2 linked regions of the Mus musculus genome follow. The protein of the gene in region 2 purifies or fractionates together with the protein of the main gene of each other region. This does not show direct contact. Links are inferred from orthologs where the notes say so. Each region holds a gene or a part of one and is shown on either strand. Other genes may lie near its edges.

Region 1 (3,267 bases), on a different chromosome or scaffold from region 2:
ACTAAAGAAGCCCACTATAATGCTCTTTTGGGAACATTATGCTGGCTTCTTAGATTCAACACCCCGGCAGTGGTGGCACACACCTTTAATCCCAGCACTTGGGAGGCAAAGTCAGGCAGATTTATTTCTGAGTTTGAGGCCAGCCTGGTTTACAGAGTGAGTTCCAGAACAGCCAGGACTACACAGAGAAACCCTGTCTTGTAAGAAACCAAAAATAAAAAAATAAGATTCTTCAACCCTTGTTATAGTCAGGGCCCAATCTTGTAGCTGTCAATTACTAATGGTTTAATTAAAGTTCCTTTTGTTTTTTTTGTAGGTTGCAAAGGCAGGCTGGTCCTTGGAGGATGTTGACCTGTTTGAAATCAATGAAGCCTATGCAGCTCTCTCTGTTGCAATAGCTAAAGAACTTGGACTAAACCCCGAGAAGGTAACCAACATGAAGTTGTGTTTGCCAGTGAACTTGCACAATCCATGTTCAAGGCTGCTTCTGCCAGGTGTTGACTTTTCACAGTAAATAACTGAGTGTGTTAGTTCACATCAGAATCAGTGGGACATGCCAGAAACAAAAAAAGACAGCAGGAGCCAGGCAGTGGTGGTGCACGCCTTAAATTCCAGCACTTGGGAGGCAGAGGCAAAGGCAGGCAGATTTATTTCTGAGTTAGAGGCCAGCCTGGTCTACAGAGTGAGTTCCACGAAGGCCAGAGCCACACAGAGAAACCCAGGAGGTGTCACATAGGCCTATTTATTCCTAAGGTTTACAGTGAAAGTTGAGTTTGAAAGGATGGTTTGCTAGCATAACACTGCGGGGAGACATATAAAACAGTCAGTTCACAGAGGACTGACTTAGGCTCTTCTTCTCTATAGGTCAACATCAATGGAGGAGCCATTGCCTTGGGCCATCCTCTGGGAGCATCTGGCTGCAGGATTCTAGTGACCTTGCTGCACACCCTGGAGAGAGTGGGCGGGACCCGTGGTGTTGCAGCCCTGTGCATTGGGGGTGGGATGGGAGTCGCAATGTGTGTTCAGAGAGGGTGAACTGCATGACAGCCACCACCTTGGACAGTTCTTGTTAAATCAGTGCAACACTAAGCAGAAAGGGAAACCAGAGGACCAAACTGAGGACAGGAACCCAGGTGGTCAGCTTGCTGTACTTTAATGTGAGACACCCAAGGCTACGGCATTGCACCTGACACTGTTATAAATAAGAGGGAAATCCAATCAGTCATCAAGGGCTCCAGAGTGAACAGCATTTTCATAACTTCCGTGTTTATCGTCTTTGCTTTCTGGGTGTAATTTTATCAGATCATCAATCCGAAGGATGGTGATTGCAGCCTCTGTTGCGAACTTCAGGCTCTTCACTTTAACTATGGTTGGTTCAAACACCCCTGCTTGCTTGTTGTCTCGTGGTTTCCCATGGACCAAATCAAGACCAATCCTATAAAGGTGAAAACTGGAGTCAGTGACCTAATTAATGTGGTGAGGTATTCCAGCTATTCTAGTCCAAAAGACTGTGGGAGTTACAACAAGCTTGCCTCTGGGAGAAGAATAGCTGACAGTGTAGCAGGGAAACCTCATCTATCGAACACTTAGCAAATAGTGACATGTTGCATACTGTTCTGGTTGGTGTAAATATGCTTTATGAATCTTTATAAACACCAGGGTGTCTACGGATACAATATTCTGAAACTGTATTCACTGTAAGCTGAGAGCTGCCTAAAATGAGAAAGCCCTACCCCAATATCATCCTCTCGGCCCTTTCTATAGACTACCCAAGGAGTCAGAATGGGACCAAGTGTTGCGACACCTAGGGCAGAGCACTAAAACTTATCAGCCACCATTATGTAAAGATGTTATCTCGAAAACGATGCCTGTGATGTTTCAATATGTGACAAGTCCCTTCATATATTTCCCAAACGTGGAGGGAGGGACAAAGGTACTATTATGAACTTACAATAGACCCATGGAAGTTGACAATAGAACACAAGGAAATCATATACTCACCACTTTAGATTTTTACGTTCCGGGTTCACTTGAGCCTCATTGTGAAAAGCTCTTAACTTGGCAACCAGGTCGGTGGAGTCCTGGGCAGCATTCACTGCCAGTGTATTAGGAATCACAAGCAGAGATCTTGCAAACTCTGCAATAGCAAGCTGTTCCCGAGATCCCTAAGGAAGAAACCATGAGGTGTGCCCATGAAAGGAGTCAAAGCCTACAGCGGGCCTGACAGGGTAAAACCCTACGGTGAACCCAACACCGCACCCTATGCCTTTGAAAGCAGCCTTACCATGCTTGTTGCATAGTTTTCCAGGTATATGGACAGGGCAGCTTCTACAGCACCTCCACCTGGGACCACAGATTTCAACTCCAAAACTCTCTTCACCACACAAAGAGCATCATGTAAAGAGCGCTCCATTTCATCACACATGAAATCATTTGCTCCTCGTAAGATGATTGAAGCAGATGTACGAGCCTTAGTACTACAAAAAACAAACGTGAGGCTATTAGCATTTTTGTTAGTGAAAACAGTAACTGCAGACACGTTGATTAAATCCCACTAATAAGATATTTAGACATGCCGGGCATGGTGGCGCATGCCTTTAATCCCAGCACTCTTAACAGAGGCAGAGGCAGGCAGATTTCTGAGTTCAAGGCCAGCCTGGTCTACAACAAAGAGAGTTCCAGGACAGTCAGGGCTACACGGTAAAACCCTGTCTCAAAAAGACAGAAAAAAACCAAACAAACAAAAAGAAAGGTATTTAGGCATAAGGCACCAGGAACAATGTCTAGACCATGTACGAGAGACAAAACACATTTCATCTCCATGTACAATGGCCCAATATTGTTTTATCCCATGCGTATAACCGCTCCTATCACTGACAGACTAGAGCAGCAAATTAATGGGAAAGAATTATTTTTACAACACAATCTGCATTGCTCTGTAACTTACAAAAGCACTTCTTACTTTTTGATTAAGATCAGCTCATCATCACAAATTCTCTCCTGTACGACCTCTTCCGCTTGTCCCAACATCGTCACTTCAAAAGTTTCTTCGCCTTCCAAATTGGCCAGCGTAGACAGGATACTTGCTATAAGAGTCATGTAAGATACATTTTTTTCTCATAGTTTTAGTATATGGAAAAGCAGTGCATTATCTCAAGGTTCCAGACAAGCCACTACCGTAACCCAAGACAATACTGCCACCTTCAAGGTAAAAATACCTTAGTTTACTCATTTCCAATAAATTCAGCATCAAAGAATGTTTTCAAC
Region 2 (4,106 bases):
GGTCCGAAGTTCAAATCCCAGCAACCATATGGTGGCTCACAACCACCCGTAATGAGATCTGATACCCTCTTCTGGTGCGTCTGAAGACAGCTACGGTGTACTTACATATAATAAATAAATAAATAAATAAATAAATAAAAGAATAAAAAGGAGAAACACGACCACCACATTGAACCCTCCAACAAATCAACTGTCCCAAGCTGGGGATAACTGTCACCCTATCCCAGGGCTGACGCTTCAGACACTCTGTGTGATGGCCTAGGCTTCCCACTGTAGCAGACAGGTGTATACAGGGATGTGAGTTTGCTTCAAAGAGCCCTTGACACAGTATTTAAAAGGCTTTCTAACAGAAACAACAGGCCAAGTAACAGGAGGTAGACTTTCTGTGCACAAGTCTGTGAACTTACCCAAATTCTAAAATACACCCAAATAATTTGACGAAACACAGTGGCCTCACCTCCTCAGTGGCTCCCTGTGACCTCATAAACTGCAACATGCCTTTAACAATACCTAGAGCTTACAGAGCACAGGGACTCAGTGCACAAAGTACTACCGAAAGCGCTCCAAGAATAAAACAGAGTAGTCACTGCCCCCATGTGAAAGAAACCTCTGGGGGAGCAGCACAAACAACAGCAGATAAGCTGCAGGTCTGAGGGAAAGTAGTTATTCCAGTCAGCTGGACAGACTCAGCCTGAACATGTATGCAACTGCAACAGTTTACTGCAGTTTACAGGAGGGCCCATCACCTGCACGCATCCAGAAAAGCACACCACCTGACTGGGAAATGAGCTAGTACTCCTCTAACGGAGAGCTACTGAGACATTCCTCAGCCATCAATGTAAGGAGCAATCATAATGTAAAGTCTGGCTTTGAGGTTAAACCTGAAACCTCACATGGACCCCCACATAAGACTAAGATGAAAGGACACCAAAAGAGAACAATGCCTCAAAGTCTTCAATCCTAGAGGAAAGAACAGGAACACCATGCACCACACAGGTGCAGCCAAGCTGTTTTACCTGCAGCCATCTCCATCAAGGTCAAATCCGCTGTAGCTCAAGCCCAGGTGCAAGGATCAGACTAGGGTAGGTCCCAGGGGCCTCTCCACAAACAAAGCTCTTGTGCCCAGGAAATACCAGCTGCTTGGTGCTTTTAGCTTTTTGGAGACAGGGTCTTGCTATGCACTGGTATTAAAAAACCAGTCTCAAGCTTGGTATGGTTGGTGTAACAGGCATAAATCAACTACCAGGCCTGACCTGGTGCTTATTCTTAATGCAACTATGGCCATGAGTTCCCATAGCAACCACTTTTGTGGACCATACAGGTAGCAACAGGAGCTGAGACTTAAGTAATGAAAAGGGCTAGAAAGTCTCTTTCAACCAGCATCTCATCTCCCTACTCCAGTGAAATGAAAGGCCAACAGTGTAGGGCAGATCTATCTCCAGTGTGGGAAGTCTCTAGGAACTAAGCTTCTTTTAGCATATAAAGAGATTCACCTAACAGCAGGTGGATGACCTTGCCAACAAGCACACCACCACCCAGCCCTGCCCATCACATCGTTAATAAGCTGGGTCTTTCAGGAAGACAAATATTAACATCTGAAGACACTAGTTGTAGCACCACCCACTTTAATTCCAGCTCTAAGGATGAAGAGCTCTAAGGATGTGGGCCCCAAACAACCAACCAAAAAACAAAAACAAAAACGGGGAAGAAAGAAAGAAAGAAAGAAAGAAAGAAAGAAAGAATATCAACATTAGCCAATCTGCCTCACAGCATTCAGGAGGCTCAGGAATTCAAAGCAGTTAAATGTGAGGCTAGCATCAACCTGAAACCGGCTCAAAGGAGACCACCACTTTCCAATTCCACAGGGTAGAGTCCAAGACAGAGCACTCAGGAAAGCAGGACTTGGGGAGGGCAGGTCTGGGAGGAAGCTGGGTTAAGCAGGATCCTCAGCAGGTGGTTTGGAGCTGGCCTCCACTGCCCACAAAGGAGGTAGGTAACCGGCAGCCGCAGCCGGGGCTTTACACTAGAGTGAGCCTGACTATGGAAGGGCAGCAGCCATCAGTCTCCCTCCAGTCAAATGTAGACTCCTGGTTTCCACCCTAGTACACAAGTATGGGAAGACAGAATGGTTCAGTCACTCAGGTGAGTGCAGTAGGTAACCCAACAAAGAACTCCAACCCATCCTCTCTGGGCTCCTAGATACCTAGGTACTAGTAGCCTTGGCTTCACACCACTGTGCGCTCAACTGCCCGGCTGTCCCGGACAATGTTCAGAAACCCTTGACCGGTCAGCCCTAGTCAGGTAGAAACTTGCGCTAGGACACAAATGAGGGTTGTGCCCGCAGCACGAGAGGCGCCAAGTGGCCAAGGAAACCTGCGCGACGCTGGCTGGGTGTCCCCGATGAGACAGAGAATTCCACTCCCAGTGACGCCAGTCTGAGGTGTGAGTCTCGAGAAGCTCGCAGGACTAAGGGTCTAGGGGCGTAGCAGGGGCCGCAGTGGAAGTAGCGGGCCGTGGCGGCCACAAGGGGCGGCGGGGTCGGGGCGCGGCCGCAAATGCGGCGTCCGGCCCGGCCCGAGGCCCTCGGAACACGTGCGGCGCTGTGGAGCCCGGAGCCCGAGGGCCCTCGTGGCCGCCGCTCGCCTCGCGCCCGCGGGACCGGGTTTCTCGCTTACCTGCCGGGGCCGCGGCGGCGGGGCCGGGCGCTCTGGCGTCGCGTCGGCTAGCCCTACGCGCGAGAGCAGACGATCTGCTGGACTAGGCGGCAGCGGCGCGGGAGGCGGGAGGGATTGCGCGTGCGCGAGGGGCGGGACAACGGGCGGCGACGAGGGTCAGAAAAACTAGAGGAGGCGGAGCGCCTTAAAGGGGCCGTCTGTGGTTCTCGCTTCCTATTTGACCGCTACTGGTGTTCGGTAACTGCAGACTGGAGCACTCTAGAATTAAAGATGGGTGAGAACGTGCTTAGGTGCCTCTCCTGTTATTCTAGGCTGTGTAGCCAAGCTAACAGTTACAATTTGCCTGTGCTGGCCCGTGCCTGCCCAGGACTGTTGGGAAACCTCTTGGTGCCACTGGTGGATGTCCACGAGGTCCGGAAGTCCGGAGCTCCTGCGGCCTCCCCAGCCTACCGCAAGGCGGGGGGCTTCCTGCCGCTGCAAACCACAGCTCAAATTGAACATACTTGCCTCTCTTCTACAGGGCCATAAGGAGGCTACGCTGTACCACCACCACCACCCCACACAGACACACTCCGAAAAAGGTCTTAGGAGCTACCGCTGCAGGGAGAGATCTACAGTAGTGTCCAGGGAAGGCAGGGCACTACTGTAGAGAAGGAAGCCTGCACGCTGACAAGAGAGGAGCTACCTGACTTAGAAGACAAACAAGAAAGAATGTGGACAGGAAAGGCAAGTGTCCCTAACACAGGGGCTCCAAGTCCTCCAGCTATGCATGCATCTGGAACGATGCAGTTGCACCTGAATGTAGGCTCAGGCAGTTCACATTCCAGGCAGCCACAGCATCCACTACAATCTGGCTCCTGTGTGGCTCTGGAGCTCCATTTTAAAGGCTTTATCTCATTTTCACAAGACAGCCCCTAGCAGGCTGGCCGGCCTGCAGTTAGCAAAGTTTTGACAGCCCTCTTTCCTGTTGGACCACCTCTACTCCTGTCACTAACGGGGAAAACACCCAGAGAGGAGGACACAGGGACAGAAGGAGAACCTGGAGCCAGGTCTGCACCTCTCACTTCACTGTCTAACTCACATGGTCTTAGACTCTTGGAGGTGGCTATGACCTGTGCAGCCTCATCTTCCAGTCTGGGAATATCAAATATAACGCGTGGGGAACCTGTGCAGAGGGAGGGACTAAGCAACTGAAGCTTGAGAATGGAGAGTGTGTGGTTGCCATAGCTACAAGAGTGTGAGAAGACTGACATTGGCCTGGAATCTCCTGCTAAAGGCACAGAAACAGTTCAGACGAATCTGTGTGTCTAACAGACCTATGCCAGGAGCCCTGGATGGAGTGGAGCATGGGATGGTAAGAATAACATCTCCGTATCTGCCTAGCTAACCGGACTGGAAACCAAACCTAATCCTCTGCCACCCACCTCTCAG

Evidence for each region.
Region 1: the proteins of Wdr5 (region 2) and Tcp1 purify together in Homo sapiens (affinity purification with mass spectrometry; 3 studies listed by BioGRID and IntAct, with this or other methods). This does not show direct contact. The link is inferred for Mus musculus from reciprocal best matches to the Homo sapiens genes WDR5 and TCP1.

What each region holds. Positions count from the first base shown.
Region 1 is NC_000083.6:12,922,428-12,925,694, reverse strand, and holds the end of Tcp1 (T-complex protein 1 subunit alpha), read right to left. Parts: intron 3,087-3,267; coding exon 2,963-3,086; intron 2,839-2,962; exon of another isoform or gene 2,778-2,838; intron 2,478-2,777; coding exon 2,285-2,477; intron 2,166-2,284; coding exon 2,002-2,165; intron 1,866-2,001; exon of another isoform or gene 1,436-1,865; coding exon 1,219-1,435; 3' UTR 1,036-1,218; coding exon of another isoform or gene 865-1,035; 3' UTR 628-864; downstream 1-627. Other genes in the region: Acat3 (acetyl-Coenzyme A acetyltransferase 3), read left to right, coding at 317-427, 865-1,035. UniProt on the Homo sapiens protein: Component of the chaperonin-containing T-complex (TRiC), a molecular chaperone complex that assists the folding of actin, tubulin and other proteins upon ATP hydrolysis.
Region 2 is NC_000068.7:27,513,850-27,517,955, reverse strand, and holds the start of Wdr5 (WD repeat-containing protein 5), read right to left. Parts: upstream 2,810-4,106; 5' UTR 2,676-2,809; intron 2,651-2,675; exon of another isoform or gene 2,204-2,650; intron 1-2,203.